Saccharomyces cerevisiae S288C: one gene and its partners. Changing the gene in region 3 together with the main gene of any one other region gives a genetic interaction. Each region holds a gene or a part of one and is shown on either strand. Other genes may lie near its edges.

What was found.
Region 1: mutations in RAX1 (region 3) and URA4 together harm fitness more than expected from each alone (negative genetic interaction), as found in Saccharomyces cerevisiae (one large-scale study listed by BioGRID).
Region 2: mutations in RAX1 (region 3) and PST1 together harm fitness more than expected from each alone (negative genetic interaction), as found in Saccharomyces cerevisiae (one large-scale study listed by BioGRID).
Region 4: mutations in RAX1 (region 3) and OXP1 together harm fitness more than expected from each alone (negative genetic interaction), as found in Saccharomyces cerevisiae (one large-scale study listed by BioGRID).

What each region holds. Positions count from the first base shown.
Region 1 is NC_001144.5:962,183-965,500, forward strand, and holds URA4 (dihydroorotase), read left to right. Parts: upstream 1-1,602; coding exon 1,603-2,697; downstream 2,698-3,318. Other genes in the region: YLR419W (RNA helicase), read left to right, coding at 1-553; proteasome regulatory particle lid subunit RPN13, read right to left, coding at 2,908-3,318. UniProt on the Saccharomyces cerevisiae protein: Catalyzes the conversion of ureidosuccinic acid (USA) to dihydroorotate, the third step of the de novo pyrimidine biosynthetic pathway.
Region 2 is NC_001136.10:561,770-565,519, reverse strand, and holds PST1 (Pst1p), read right to left. Parts: upstream 1,994-3,750; coding exon 659-1,993; downstream 1-658. Other genes in the region: EMC10 (Emc10p), read left to right, coding at 1-497; SCF E2 ubiquitin-protein ligase catalytic subunit CDC34, read left to right, coding at 3,193-3,750. UniProt on the Saccharomyces cerevisiae protein: Has a partially redundant function to ECM33 in cell wall integrity. May be involved in a repair mechanism activated in response to cell wall damage.
Region 3 is NC_001147.6:879,342-882,930, forward strand, and holds RAX1 (Rax1p), read left to right. Parts: upstream 1-1,623; coding exon 1,624-2,931; downstream 2,932-3,589. Other genes in the region: BUD7 (exomer complex subunit), read left to right, coding at 1-1,334; YOR302W (uncharacterized protein), read left to right, coding at 3,424-3,501; carbamoyl-phosphate synthase (glutamine-hydrolyzing) CPA1, read left to right, coding at 3,558-3,589. UniProt on the Saccharomyces cerevisiae protein: Required for the establishment of the bipolar budding pattern. Involved in selecting bud sites at both the distal and proximal poles of daughter cells as well as near previously used division sites on mother cells.
Region 4 is NC_001143.9:26,209-32,301, forward strand, and holds OXP1 (5-oxoprolinase), read right to left. Parts: upstream 4,480-6,093; coding exon 619-4,479; downstream 1-618. Other genes in the region: YRA2 (Yra2p), read right to left, coding at 4,874-5,485; DOA1 (Doa1p), read right to left, coding at 5,752-6,093. UniProt on the Saccharomyces cerevisiae protein: Catalyzes the cleavage of 5-oxo-L-proline to form L-glutamate coupled to the hydrolysis of ATP to ADP and inorganic phosphate.

The DNA of each region.
Region 1 (3,318 bases), on a different chromosome or scaffold from region 3:
GTATCAGGACAAATTAGAAGAATATAAGACGAAAATTTCGCAAGAGACGCAAAAGGTTGATTTGGAAGATTTACCGTTACCTGCTACTAGGGCATTCATTCATCCAAGTTCAGTCTTATTTTCAACCAATTCAGTAAACTTGGAAGACGCTAAGTTACTCTCTGAGGTGGATGGTCCAATATCCCGTCAATCCAAAATACCAACCGTTGTAAAATACCCATTTGTTTTGTTTACCACGTCTCAAGTTACTAATAAGTTGTATTTGAGGGACTTAACCCCAACTACTACATTATCATTACTATTATTCGGAGGGGCAATCTCTTATGACATTGGAGGTACTATTCATTCACCGGGCATCGTTGTCGACAACTGGCTCCCAATTAGAACCTGGTGTAAGAATGGTGTTTTAATCAAGGAACTGAGAACACAACTTGATGAGGCCATAAGGAAAAAGTTAGAAAGTCCCGATTATGCTAAAAAATCTCAAATTGATAATTCTGGTGCTGATAAAACTCTAAAAATTGTTGAAAAAATTATAGCTTCCGAACAATAGTAATCAGTTCCTACTGTAGTCCCTGTATAATAATTATCATCTTCATTTTCGAAAAGGAATTTTTTTAACATATAGAAGTGTCAAAGTATAAAACACTAACAAAAATCTAAGAGATTATTGCGACTGCGTGTTTTTCTCTTTGCTGAATCAGGGCTAGAATCCCGTAAACTACATAGCACATTGTCTTTGCCATATTTTAAAAATTTTGTGGCGCCGTCAAAATAAAAAAAAAATACTGAAGGATGCGAGGTTCGAACTCGCGCGGACAACCGTCCAACAGATCTTAAGTCTGCCGCCTTAGACCACTCGGCCAACCCTCCGTCGATAATACAACAACAAGGAAATACAGGATACGAACACCATCCAGTTTAACTTGATTAATCTTTACGCATGCATATTGCTACATCTTTTTTATTCTGCAATATACATCTGTTTATATCTCATTAATGTTGGTAAGCCTCTGAAAAATTTATCAAATACTAGTACAATTGTTTACCAACATCATTTTCGTTGCTAGAAAATTACTATACACCGTTAAGAAAAGACATAAATCATGAGACTAATAGAACAACACTAGGGATTAGCCAATTTAATGGGAGCTGAAATGCAGGGATTAATTATGCAATTACAAAATGAATGGTATCGTTTGAAATGAAAGAAGAAACACTAATATTATAACATAGAAATATCGATTTCTTCCTGCGAATTCCCATGTCCTCGTTGAGAACTTCTAATATGTTTTGTATGCCTAATATTATAGCTTTACAAAAAAATAGAATCTCAACAATTATCCCACAATTCACTCATGTCATGCTGCCTCTCGCGTATTTTTTCTTGAAACCGATGCTAGTTTAGTTGTCTTTCGGCATCAGCTCTAATTTTTTCAAGAATAGTATCTACAGAGTCAAATTTCATCATTCGGAGAATTCCGATGAATCGGCATCGTCAGAGAAGCTATATAAGAAGAGATAAACACATTTGAAAGATAGGATATACTTTGAAAGTGTTCTGGTGACCACTATATCACTTAAGTAATACCTAACAAAGCAATGGTACAAGAAATCGATTTAGGTTTGACATGTGATATGCATGTTCATGTAAGAGAGGGTGCGATGTGTGAACTAGTCACCCCCAAGATTAGAGATGGTGGGGTTTCAATTGCTTACATCATGCCAAATTTACAACCTCCAATTACCACACTAGATAGAGTGATTGAATACAAAAAGACACTGCAGAAACTAGCTCCTAAAACTACCTTCTTAATGAGTTTTTATCTTTCAAAAGACTTAACTCCAGATTTAATTCATGAAGCTGCCCAACAACATGCCATTCGTGGAGTAAAGTGTTATCCAGCGGGAGTAACAACAAATTCGGCTGCTGGGGTGGATCCAAATGACTTCAGCGCATTTTACCCAATTTTCAAGGCTATGCAAGAAGAGAACCTGGTATTAAATTTGCATGGGGAAAAACCTTCTGTCCATGATGGAGACAAAGAACCTATTCATGTATTGAATGCAGAGGAAGCCTTTTTGCCAGCCTTGAAAAAATTGCATAATGATTTCCCAAACCTGAAAATAATTCTGGAACACTGCACTAGCGAGTCGGCAATAAAGACAATCGAGGATATAAATAAGAACGTGAAGAAAGCCACTGACGTAAAGGTTGCTGCCACATTAACGGCTCATCACTTATTTTTAACAATTGATGATTGGGCCGGAAATCCGGTAAATTTTTGCAAACCTGTTGCGAAACTTCCAAATGACAAAAAGGCTCTAGTCAAAGCTGCTGTATCAGGGAAACCATATTTTTTCTTTGGATCTGATTCAGCACCTCATCCTGTACAAAATAAGGCCAATTACGAGGGTGTTTGCGCAGGAGTTTACTCACAATCTTTTGCGATCCCTTATATCGCCCAAGTTTTTGAAGAGCAAAATGCCTTGGAGAACTTAAAGGGCTTTGTTTCCGACTTCGGAATTTCCTTTTATGAGGTTAAAGATAGCGAAGTGGCTTCTTCAGATAAGGCAATATTATTCAAAAAAGAACAAGTTATCCCTCAGGTTATCAGCGATGGCAAAGACATAAGCATCATCCCATTTAAAGCAGGTGATAAACTAAGTTGGTCGGTGAGATGGGAACCTCGTTAATATGCAACAATATGTAGGCTCATTTGAGAGTATAGACCATATATACATATTTATGGGAAAAATAAACTTACCTTCCAATAGAAGTTATAGATGCCATCATCATGCCTATTGTTATGGTCCGTATCTCTTTACAGAAGTTCACAGCCAAATGCGTTGATATGGTATATTTTTTCTCTTCAGTTTTTTATCAAAAAATGCCACAACCTTGATTTAATCTTGCATACTAACATCCACATCTTGAGCTTTTTGCTTTTCGTCATTGCTTTCTTCCTCATCACTTTCACTACTATTATTCAGCACTCCAATCATCTTATTGTAAATTTCTTTATCTTTCGCACTCAATTCATTTAAGGGCAAATTACCTGAGTTCTTCTCTTGCAGCCAAAAGAAGTACCTTTCGTTGGATGAAAAAACTAAAGCAAATATTCTGCCACTTTTACTGGATTTTATTGGAACCCACATGGTCTCTCCAGGAATTAAAATCAAAGAAATAGGATCAAGTTCCCTCCCGACCGGCTTTTCCGTTGGACGCCACTCGAAATCCCAAAATCCCAATTCTTCCTCTTCATTTGGTTTGATCTCGATTTCACCCTGAACTGGAATTGGCGTACATAGACGTGA
Region 2 (3,750 bases), on a different chromosome or scaffold from region 3:
ATAGTACATCCGATGGGAATGTTACAGTAACAACCGTTAATATACAGGATGTTGAAGTTTCTGGAGAATACTGTTTGAATGCCCAGATTGAAGGTAAGCTGGATATGCCATGTTTTAGCTACATGAAGCTGAGGACACCACTAAAATACGATTTAATTGTGGATGTAGATGAAGATAATGAGGTCAAACAAGTGTCGTTATCATATGACGAGACTAACGATGCTATTACTGCTACAGTCAGATATCCAGAAGCGGGACCTACTGCACCAGTCACCAAATTAAAGAAGAAAACCAAAACTTATGCTGATAAAAAAGCTAGTAAGAATAAGGATGGAAGCACTGCACAATTCGAAGAAGATGAAGAGGTTAAGGAGGTGTCTTGGTTTCAAAAGAACTGGAAAATGTTACTTTTAGGCCTATTGATTTACAATTTTGTTGCGGGCTCAGCAAAGAAGCAACAACAAGGAGGTGCCGGAGCTGATCAAAAGACTGAGTAAATAAAGTATTGTGATTTTTTAAATTTTTAAGTGTCGTTACTTTTATCTCTTTCCCGAAAATATTTGAATACATAAAATTTTTAAATAAATGTTTTTATTTGTTCACATGTCGTGAATGACAGGTACTAGTTATCAAAAATGAAGAATATTTCTTCATTCCATTACATTATAGACATGATGATTGCCGTCAAAAGACCGACCAAAGGGGTTGTTTGGCCAATTGGTGCCATGATAGCGGCATTGCCTTTGGAACTCTTAGAGCTAGAGCTGGAAGCGCCAGAACTAGAAACACTAGAGGCAGAAGCAGCAGCCTTGATATCGCCAGAAGTGAACTTCTTTTCCTCGGCCTTAGAAGATGACTTGGAAACCTTGGCAGTAGTTTGGCTTGATTGAGATTTGGAAGTGGACGATAGTTTAACAGATGTGGATGATGCACCATTTTTGCAGACAAAAGATTCACCCTTGATACCCCCTTTCTTTTGCAAAGCTTTCAAAGCATTACAGGAGAAATTGCTTGACTTTGATTCGACATCTGCGCCACCCTTGACAGACTTCAAAGAGTCTAGGTTCAAGGAGGTGAAGTTACCAACAACTTCCAAAGTACCGCCAATGGTTGTTAGGTTGTCGAGACCACCAATTTTTTGTAAACCAGTGTTGTTAGCAACGACAAGAGCACCACCTATGGTTGACAAATTAGAGAACGACAAGTTCTTCAAGTAGTCATTGGAAACGATACTGAAGGTTTGGCCAATGGTGTTTAGCTTAGTGAAATTCAAACTTGAGATGGAGTTGTTGATGAAACCCAATGAAGAGTTAATCTTTTGCAAGTTAGCGAAGGAAACAGAGTGGACATCGGTCAAACTGATATTGTTTGCCCAAACCAAGTCATCGAAGGTGATTTTAGTCTGGTTACCGTTGAACGAAAATTGTAAAGAATCGCTGACTGTTTCAACTGGAGATTTGATCGAGGTTAATTTCTTATTGTTATTGACGTTGAACACGTTAACTTTTTTCAAGGCTGAGAATCCATCGACAGATTGTAACGAAGTGTCGGAAATATAAATGTTGTTAGCAGATTTGATATTTGAAGTAAAACTGGAGATGGCGGGTAGAGTAATCAGTTTTATACTATCAACGCTCTGTAAAGACCCAAATGAAGCAGAAGTCAAGATTGTCAAACTCTGTAGGTTCAAAGAATCTGTGATGGACTCCAAGGAATCAGCAGCGAATGAGGTTAGATTTGTAGCGTTAAATATAGTTAGAGACCCGTTGATTTCTTTAACATTAGCCAAAGCACCAGTCTTCAAACCACCACCAATAGTTAAGTTCCCGACTAACGTATCACAGCGGCTATATTTATCTAAGTCACTCTGAGCTGTGGCCGTGGCATGTGAGCTTATGGTACAGGAAGAGGGTATGCTGGAAGAAGAGGAAGTAGCAGCCAAAGCTGACGTTATTAAGAGCGCAGTTGAAGCGATAAGTGAATGTAATTGCATGATATTTTTATAGCGAGCTTTTTTTTTTTGCTTCTCTCTTGGATTAGATCTATTGCAGCGTGATGTACTGTAAGATTCTATTGAACTATACAGAGCAAGAGTTGAATAGAGAAGAATATGCACGCTATTTATATGTTTATCTGTAGAGCATATATGGGTTTGCTCGTAAGGAACCTTGAGCGGTTGAATGATATTACTTAGAGTTAATGCTATGAAAACCCAGCCCAATCATTCAACATTACTCTTTGTAGTAATAAACTCTGATCAAAGTCCGAATCAGGGCAGTGTGCCTACGCTATTTTTAGAGACTCGTAACACTATTAAAACTAAAAGCCCTCTCTACTAATTAAGATATCCCAGCTTTGTGGTCTTTTTTGGGTTTCTTTGGTTTTTTTCCCTCAAGGATACCGAAAATGCGGGCCTTAATTTAAAGCCTTTTCCGTAAAGAGAAAACAAAAATGAGTTGGCGGGTCAACGGGGAGTGCTATTTTAAACGACTCAAATACATTTGAAAAAGAAAAAAATAGCCGCCCAGCTCCCACGTGCATATCACGTGCATTATAACCCGGTTTTCAGATAATAGAAATCCGCTCACTCTATTTATTTAAACGCTTTCTTTCTTTTTTTTTCTATTTATGGGGCCCACCCGCGGAAGAAAAGAAAAGCGGGCAATTACTAATGCGGGTTCAGTCCAAAGGAGATTTGATGTGGCAATAGCATCATAATGATGGAACCTACGTTAAGTGCGTTAAATAGGGAGAACTGTTTGTCACTTTATTCTTGTATACCGCTCTTAGTAATGATTTGTTTATGCTCTTTATCGTAACCTGCGCTTACAAAACTAACCACGTGCAGCATCGTCTTGTGTTTGTCCGTCCCTTGGGGTTCTTCGGATTTTCTATCTCCTCTTTTTTTTTCCTTACACTTTCATTTTGGGAAAAATTCGATTCTTTTTCTTTGATTTTTTTTTGGTTTCCTCTTGAATCTGTAAAGAACAAGAGCAGAAACTTAAAGTTAAGAAGGACAATAAAGAGCATACTATTACAAAATAATAGGAGCTTTGCGTTTGTTATTTCAGTCGAATAGTACTCCTTTATACTCTCTGCCGCTGACATCTTTGTCCTTTACTGTTTAGGACTTATAGCGACTGTTATTTTTTAGTACACCAAACAAGGAAAAAAGAACAATACAACGTAAATATGAGTAGTCGCAAAAGCACCGCTTCTAGCTTACTGTTACGGCAATATAGAGAACTTACTGATCCTAAGAAAGCTATTCCCTCATTTCATATAGAACTAGAGGATGATTCAAATATTTTCACTTGGAACATAGGTGTTATGGTGCTAAATGAGGATTCCATTTATCATGGAGGGTTTTTCAAAGCTCAAATGAGATTTCCGGAAGACTTTCCCTTTTCTCCACCACAGTTTCGATTTACGCCGGCTATCTACCATCCAAACGTTTACAGGGATGGCAGGCTTTGTATTTCTATTTTACATCAAAGTGGGGATCCTATGACCGACGAACCTGATGCTGAAACGTGGTCCCCCGTGCAGACCGTGGAAAGTGTGTTGATCTCTATAGTATCTCTATTAGAGGACCCCAATATCAACTCGCCAGCAAATGTCGATGCCGCTGTTGATTACAGAAAGAACCCTGAACAATACAAGCAAAGAGTCAAAATGGAAGTGGAAAGATCGAAACAAGATATCCCTAAAGGTTTCATAATGCCCACTTCTGAATCGGCGTACATATCT
Region 3 (3,589 bases):
TTGAGATAGTTAAGCTGACTCGTAATGTTAGCAGGGCGGAAATAATGTTGAAGAATCTGGCTACCGACAACCCTGAGGCGATCATAATACTAATCAAGATCTTTTTGGTGTGTGATCAAGAATTAGACGCAATAAAGCTCACATACGATATGCTTTCGCAGGATAAAATAATAAACAACACTAATAACCGCATGGATTATAAATCTGAATTACTGTGCTTACAAGCGCAATTTTTGATAGACAAAAGGCAGGATTACAGCTTGGCGCAAAACATAGCGCAAGAGGCAGTCAATTGTTCTCCCAGTGAATTTAGACCTTGGTATCTTTTATCCAAGGTGTATGTAAAGCTAAATGATATTGAAAATGCCTTACTGATACTGAATTCATGCCCTATGTCTCCATTAAAGGAAAAATACGTACTGAAAAGAGTAGCTCCGTTGCCTTCGAATAATAGTCTTCATTTGCCATTGCCAATTGACGTTGTACTGGATGAAGTGACGTCGTTGAATCCACAAGACGTTCAGAATGAACACCGCTCTGCGGATCCAATGCTGGTCAATTTAGCTGCGTCGAACTTGAAATCTACTTTCCAATTGGCATACCGATTATTGACAGAAATTGTGCAGATCACCGGCTGGGAAAATCTGTTAAAGTACAGATCAAACATTTTCGTTATGGAAGAAGAGTACCAAAAATCATCATCTTCGTTACCAAAGGACGTTAACAAACAAGAAGAACAGCCTCTGAGGGCTAAACGGCTGTGTGAACGATGGTTAGACAACCTCTTCATGCTTTTATATGAAGACCTGAAGATGTATACATTATGGCAAACCGAACAACTGTACATGGATGCACAGAATAACAACCACAATAAGTTGACTTTCGAATGGGAGTTATTTGGCCTTTGTGCACGTCGACTGGGCCATTTCCCTGAGGCCGCCAAGGCCTTCCAGAACGGTTTATCGCAGAGATTTTCATCAAGGTGCGCGAGGAAACTGCTGGAATATTGTATAAACGAACGCCAACGGGTCAAAAATTTTATAAACTCACCTAATTCGCATGACATGGTCCCTGAAATAGTAAGCTCACGCATAAGAGAGCTAGACAATAGCATTATCGACCTTTGCGTGAAGATATGCTGCTGGAACCACCGTTGGTATACGGAATTTTCCATAAGTTTACTTGATTGTTTAAGTGTGGTTATTCAAGATATGAGTCTGACCAAAGTTTCGAATGAAATCTCGTCAAGATATCCAGAAACTGTTCTCAACTTGGTGCAGGAGAATTTGCTCAATTTCTTCACTACTTGCACCATTGGATGCTACGATGCATAAATACGATAAAAAGACATTAATACGTATATATAATCCAAAAAAAATTGGCGATACGCTTCAACGTTGTGTCAAACTCTTGGGTCACTTTAAAGAAAACCCAGCATACATTAATACAGAGCAATGCTGGTTATGTAACTTCGCCGCCCGCCGCCATTCGAGGAAAAATATTCGTGTTTCGAGAATGCGGGCAAAACGAAAATATCAATAAAACACATACGGGAAATTCATTGTGCACAACGACCTCTAACAATTTCTGCCAAAAAGAAAGTTCAAGAGCGTCCCATTCATCATGAAGGAAGAGCTCAGCAAAGTGAGCAGTATGCAAAATTTCGAGATGATCCAGCGTGAACGATTGCCAACATTGTATGAAGTGTTAATACAGAGGACATCGCAGCCAGTTGATCTCTGGACTTTTTATACATTTCTTTCACAATTCCCATATGCCATCAACTATCTGGACTTTTGGGTTGACCTTATGACACATACACGACTTTGCAAAAACTACATAGAGTTGGTAAGAAAATCATTAATCAACTTTCCACAAGAACAACAGCAGAATGGAAGTACATCTACGGCTACATTTGACTTGCTGAACGCACTGATAGAAGAAGGGCACCTAGACCCGGAAGCACCTGATAAACTCTTAGAAAATAGCGGCCCAGACGTGCCCTTTTCACCAAAATTAAACGAATTGCTGGGTGATTGGAAGCACCAATCGGGTATCGGTCAAGAAGCCCTGAGAAACGAAGACGTAGCGCTGATCGTCGACGAGATAATGAAAAGGCGCTCCCAACAAGACGGAAAACCGCAGATAACTACAAAACAACTGCTGCACAGCGCAGTTGGTCTCTGCAACACCTATTTAGTATCGCCCGAACAAAGCGAACGGTACCTGAGCAACATCCCCATGGAAACGCGGAACCGCATAATAGAAAGCGTACAAATCGAGCGAAAGTACGACATTGAGATTTTTGACGACCTAAAAAACCTAACTTACCAATTCCTAGAAATGGATTGTTTCCCAAAATTTCTAAGCCGCGTCGCACTACACAACATCCACGATGAAATATCTGATTGGAGATTCCACTCAGTGGGCGTCACCAACGAAAAAAGCAATCGCTCTCGAGGCCAGACGCACATTTCTCGCTCGCCATTCTCCAATCACACGTCAATCAGTCGTATTGGCTTTGGTTTGCTCTGGCTAGGCATCGGCTTTTGGATCGGATATGTTCTAATCTTCCTGGCGTATAGTCGCGCAATCCGTGTCGTTACGGTCGTGCCATTTACACTGGGATGCTACTGCATTGTGTGTGGCATGTATCAAGTGGACATTGTGTATTCCTGGTTTGGCGTCACACAGAGACTTCTCCACAGACACAAAAACGCTGGCAATGACGAAGGAGATGCTTCTAGTGATACCGATCACGTGCCAATGATACTTGCGGTGTTCGGCGGTAGGCGCCGTCTTACCCGCATAGAGCACCCATTTACTCGGCAGCTTCTACGTAAGCGTGGACTGTGGTGTCTGCTTCTCGTAGTGGGTGCCACTGCCGCATTCACAGTTATTTTCAGCTGTGTTCCCGGCCGTCGTGTATGATGTAATCCATCACCCCCCTATAAAAACACCTGTGCACCGCATATTTCCATAGCGCGTGACGCTAAGTACAAGAAACAGCGAGGGGCCGTTAAGTGCAGGCTTTACCGAGGGCGCCGGCTGGCGCTTCCCGTGGAAGGGTGTTTGACTCATCATCGCATCGCATTACCTCATGATGAGTAAATAGTTGCGATTTCACTTATCACCTCTCGCGGAAAAAAAAGGCGATGACATGATATATAAGGCTCTCTCGTAAGACACTTAACTATCCAACGTTCATTAGATTATTCGGTCAATTTCTTTTTTCATGCCCCTCCTTTTTCTTTTCTTTTCTTGACTCGTCGTTTCTTTTTCTTTTTTTTTTTTTTTTTTTTCTTCAGAACTATAACACATAGATACACTCGAACATCTAATTGTTTAAATACTGCAAAGAATACAAGGTAATCGACTCTTCTACATACCCTTTTTGCAGATTTGAAATAAAAAAAACATTATATGTTTAGCTTATCGAACTCTCAATACACCTGCCAAGACTACATATCTGACCACATCTGGAAAACTAGCTCCCACTAATTTCATTGCTTAATAATCAGAAATTCTATCACAAACCACTCCTAAAAATATTTCAAATGTCCTCCGCTGCAACAAAAGCTACTTTCTG
Region 4 (6,093 bases), on a different chromosome or scaffold from region 3:
AGATTCGTATGAATATTTTATTATTTTGAAATTGCATAAATCAAGGATAGTTGGTAAATGCTAATTCCTTAATTTTTCGGTGAGTGCATTCGCAATTGGCATCATACATTAGGGTTCAATGTGCTTTAATAGATGATGATACTAAATACTTATACTTTGAAATAACTTAATCAATGTAAATTATTGTCTTGATTCATTTATACTTAAATTTTTATATCTCAACATATGATATATCCTTACATTAAGACTTATTCAAGAAACATTTTTCAACGATAATTATTAGTAGGCTAAAAATGGCATAGGAACCAGAAAATAATGTTGAAGAAATGAAGCCATCTGTTTAATATTTGGGGAAAAAAGTGAAGAAATTAACGAATATGTGCATATATATATATATATATATATATATATATATTGCACAGGTGATTTTGATGTAGAATGTAGCCTTTTCGAAAGAGTAATTTGGTTTTATCTACAGAGTTCCGAAACATTGTTAAGTGCCTGTTCTTATATAATTAAACTGTACTTTCTGTAAAAGTCAATTTGTGGCTGGCGCATCCACGGTATACCAATGGTTCCGTGTAATTCGATATTGACTAAGAACCAAAAAGAAATGCTTTAATCCTTGTATTGTCCAAATCCCCCACCACCAGGGGTTTTAATGATGAATCGATCACCGGGTTGAGCGTAAATCGTATTTTTACCGCCGACATTGATTAATGCGCCTGTGCTATGTCTTACCCATAAATTCTCACCTCTACTACCGTCTTGTCCTCCCTTTATACCATGAGGGCCAATGACACGACGTTCTGATAATATAGATGCTGTTACAGCCTTCCGAAATTGAACATCCCTTACTACGCCATTTCCGCCAGTATATTTACCTTTGCCTCCTGAACCTCTTCTGATCGAGAACTCTTTCAACAGAACGGGGTATCTCCTTTCAAATACCTCAGTATCTGTCATTCTTGTATTGGTCATATTCGTGTGTACAGCGTCTGAGCCATTCCAACCACTTCCTCTCCATGAATCTGCACCAGCCCCCGAGCCGCCACATATGGTTTCATAATATCCAAAGCCTTTGATCTGCTTATCGGTTTTGTTACCAGAATTTCCTCCAGTTCCAAATGTAAAGTTGTTACAGTCACCTTGAGAATCTGCCATGACGTTAAATGTTTTTAAGATTACATCTGTCACTCTTTGGGAAGTTAATACATTGCCTCCGACAACAGCAGCACCGGATCGGGGGCTCAAGAGGGAACCAGCAGGAATTTTTATTGTTAAGGGTTTTAAACAACCTTGATTTAAAGGAATATCTTCGCCTACTAGACACCGTAGACAATAAAGAATCGCAGAATTAGTAATAGCCTCTGGTGCATTTAAATTACCATAAACTTGGGGAGAAGTGCCATCGAAATTAAAAATATACTCCTCTTTTTCAGGTCTTATGATAACTTGTAGTTTAATTAAGCTTCCATCATCTAAGCGATCTTCGCCAGAAAACTTCGTTGTGCCAAAATGTTCAACCATTTTTGCAAGCATTTTTTTTATGGATTCAGATGCATTTGTCTGAATTGCAGCCATGTATTTCAATATTGTAGCCAGATCATATTCCTTAGTTAATGACCCAATTAACTGTATCCCTTTTGTGTTAGCTGCGACTTGCGCTTTTAAATCGCTTATGTTATCACTAAATCTTCTTGAACCTGAGCAGCCTGGGTATTTGCCTGGATCTTCTACGAAAAGCTTGTAAATTAATTCTTCCTGGAAAATTCCCTCTTTGACAACCAATTCGGAATAAATTGCGGTTCCTTCTTCGTACAATTCTTTGGAATTTGGAGGCACTGAACCGGGTAGAATACCTCCAATATCTGCATGATGGGCTCTTGAAGCCACATAAAATATCAATTCGCCAGTTGAAGAGAAAGAAGGAGTTATTACTGTTATGTCTGGTAAATGAGTACCACCAATATCCGGATGGTTTGTGATTAAAACATCACCAGGCTTTAATTTGCCTTCCCATAACTTCGCCTGTGCTGATATGCAGGTTGACATTGATCCTAAGTGAACAGGTACATGAGGAGCGTTAGCGACTAAGTTTCCTTTAGAGTCGAATAGTGCACATGAAAAATCTAATCTCTCTTTGACGTTAGTTGAAACAGAAGTTTTCCTCAATTGAGTACCCATCTGGAGGGCGATATCCATAAACCTATGACTGAAAATAGACAATAAGATTGGATCTATATCAAGTTCATATCCGCTTTTAGATAATGTCTTCGCAGCCTTTTGGTTGATCTTGATAAATATATGAGAGTTTAAAATTGTTGCTTGGCTGTTTGGTAAAATAATATTTGTTTGGGTACCGTCAGCCAATATGGCTGGGCCCTCGATAATTGTTCCGGCAGGAAGATCATCAATTTTGAAGACCGCAGTGTCGACCCATTTGTTGTCAAAATATGCTTTCTGGGTAAAACTAGCATCCTTTGACACGTCGGCTTTCTTGAAATGGGAAATTTCAATCAATTGCTCATCAACCGTTTTTTCTTTTCTAACGCCTGATTTCCCAATTGCTCTTATCCTTATATCATCAATTATAATTCGTTTGTCATCGAATGAGAATCCGAACTCTTTTTTATGAGCTTCAGAGAACCATTCCCTAAAATTCCATTGGTCATCATATTTTTGTAATATCATCAAACTGGTTTCAGTACCTTCATATCTGAGATTTAAATATCTTTCCAAGACTATGTCCTCCCGAGAAAACGACTGAGATAAAAGGTTTTTGATTGAATTTTTAGAAAGTTCTAAGAATCTTTTTTTCACTTTCAAGATGGTCTCTGGCTCACCCAAGATAAAAGAGCAAGGCTCTTGGTTTTCTTCAATAACATCTGCTAAGAAAATGCCATAAGCGGACAAGATAGAAGAATATCTATGAATTAAAACAGTGTCAATGCCCAATGAATCTGCAACCGCTATGGCGTGTTGCCCGCCAGCCCCGCCAAAGGAAACTAACCGATGCTGAGATACTACATGTCCTTTTGCTTCTGTAATGGCCCTCACAGGTCTTGCCATGCATTCGTTAGCTACTTTGATAAATCCATAGGCAACCTCTTCCATGGTTAGATTTGAATTCAGATCCTTATTGATGACATCTGTTAATTCTCTGAATTTCAAAGTAGTGGTTTCTAAGTCAAGTGATTCATCCTCATTGGGCCCAAAAATTTTGGGGAAGAACTCAGGAACCAAACGTCCTAAAAAGAGGTTGGCGTCTGTAATGGTCAAAGGCCCGCCCTTTCTGTAGGCTGCAGGGCCTGGATCAGCAGCTGCTGAATCAGGGCCTACTCTGAATAACCCGTTTTTCCATGACAAAATAGAACTTCCTCCAGCAGCAACAGTATGGATGTCAAGTTGAGGAGATTGTATGATGATCCCTGCGGTAACAGTTTCAAAAACATGTTCTAACCTCCCATCGCCGTACCTACTGACATCAGTAGATGTTCCTCCCATGTCAAAGCCTATTAAGGGTATGTTATTATTTTTATCATAGCATGTACTAGAATAACCTATTACGCCACCTGCAGGACCAGATAAAATAGATTTCAAACCGGAAAATTTTCCCCCATCCACTAAACCACCATCAGACTGCATGAATTGAATGTGGGTATCTTCTGCGTGGCTCAAACCTGCAGAAATGCTATTCAAGTACTTTTTAATTACCGGAGTAAGGTAGGCATCTGCGACAGAACTGTGAGCCCTCGGTAAAAATTTTATCATTGGAGAGACTTCAGATGATAATGAAACATGAGAAAACCCAATCTCCCTGGCAATATTACCAACAATTCGCTCATGGTCTGGAAAAGTGTATGAGTGTAAAAATGCTATCGCAATAGACTTGATTCCGCTAGCATAAAGCACTTTCAGAATAGATCTTACGCTTGATTCATCTGGCTTCTTTATGACCCTTACCATTTCGCCACTATTACCTTCCAGGATACCTTCTTGTTCATTAGGAGACGATTTGGTAAAATAAGGGTCTTCCGAGAAATCTTCTAAAGTAACTCTCTCATCTATTTCAACTACAGTGTCATATAATGGCACTACCTTTTTTATATTTAAGTTGAAGATATCTGGCCTGGTTTGGTCTCCAATCAGCAATGAATCCTTAAAGCCTTTCGTAGTAATGAAGGCACAACGTTCACCATTTCTTTCTAGAGCGCAGTTTGTAGCTAGGGTTGTCCCCATTCTTAAACTTCTCACATTAGAGATGTCTAGAGGAATACCGCGAGGAATTGTCTTGTGTTCAAGCACCTCCAAGAGACGTCTTATGCCTTCAAGGGGAGCATCTGGATAGTTTTTGGGATCCACCGACAAGAGCTTGATGACAGTATCATGTTCTTGTTTACCTGTACCAATATTCCCCACACAATCAGTGAAAGTTCCACCCTTATCGATGGCAATTCTTATGTTTCCTTTCTGCATTGTATACCAAGAAGTTATATTTAGGTTTTCAATGCTCAAAATTATTACTGTTTAAGTTCAGTTCTTAGTTTTTGGCATTCTTTCTTCAACACCACGTAACATTTGATCTTATCTTTCTTTTCAGTGGTAATGTTATGGCGATCGTGCTCAATCGGAAAAGCACCTGAGGCAAACAAAACAATTGTTGAAGTATTCATGCAAATAATACTGAATAGAGCGGAGTACGCTTGTTCTTAATTCCAGAGATTGGTAAAGTGTTTATCATTGCTACCCTCTAGAAATAAAAATTAATTATTTAGGTAAAAAGTAGTACTGAGGTTTCATATCTGTAGACTGATGGAGTAAAAAAACATTGAAAAGACTATAAAGAAATTATAAGTAGATACACAATTGCTTAACCTTTCATGTAAGCATCTAATTCAGCGTCAAGAGCTTCGACAGAAGTAGGAGTGTTATTCTTCTCACGGCCCTTGTTCTTTTTGGAGACTCTGTTAGGCTTTTGGCGATAATGGCTCCCTGGCCTGCCTCTTCCGTGTTCTTGAGCCGTCTGTTTGCGACGGTTGTGGGCATTCATTCTAGAATGCTTTCTCTGTGGTTGGTAAATCTCCACTTCAATTTTTGCATTATGTAACTCATGTCCATTATAACGCTCGACAATCTTTTCCAAAACTTCTGGGTCTTCAAATTCGTAAATACATGTACGATCCTCTTTATTGTCAAAAATTTTCGAAAATATTGGCGAGCCAAACTCTTTAATCATATCATCGAGGGTGTAGTCAGAAACGTCTAGTGGGATTTTGGATATTCTAATTCTCTTAGGCAAAGGAGGCTCTTCCCTCTCTCTATAAAGGCGATCTTTCGACCTTGATGCAGCATCCGAAGGCGCAAATCCCAGTCTAGGTCCTAATTCATTTCTTAAATCCCTTCTGCGGTATCTCGTTACCTTATGATTAGATGAGCTGTCTGTGTGACTATTTCCAATAATTTCGTCAAATGCTTTGTCCATTGCAAAATGCAGTATTGAATCGTCTAATGGAAAAGGTACTAGACGCTTATCGTTTCAGTTTTTTAGTCTTTTCCATCTATTTATCAGTCTGTACTCAAAATAACCTTATTGTATGTAACCTTTTTCATTTCACGATGATAATTTCTTGCCGAGTTAGACAGAAAATGACCGTGATAGTTTGTCATAATTTTCAATAGGGCAGAAAGAATTTTAAAGATTATTTGCTATCTAGACATTATGTGTTTTATATGATTGCTGTAAAAGTATTAGGAGAGATCGTCGAAAATATCCTTAAACCTTGGCACGTTCCCATAGCTCCTTTTGATGTTTGCAAGCCAAGTTACGGAGTTGGCAAATTGTCTTAATGTAGGTTCAACAGTAGCCAAATTTCCGTAAGCTACGGTTAGCCTATATGCGGCTTCTTCGCATTCTTGATACTCTTCCAATGGCCCATACTTGGTGTTGATGGCGTCAGCTACGATAGGCAAAAGTTCTAAATCAGAGTTCCCTTTCGTGACGAGAGCTGAATAGTTGAAAATTAGTGTGGAAACTGCAATAGCCAAATTCTGTGACTGTTTAGCAGATGCCTGAGAAAATTCAGTATCTAT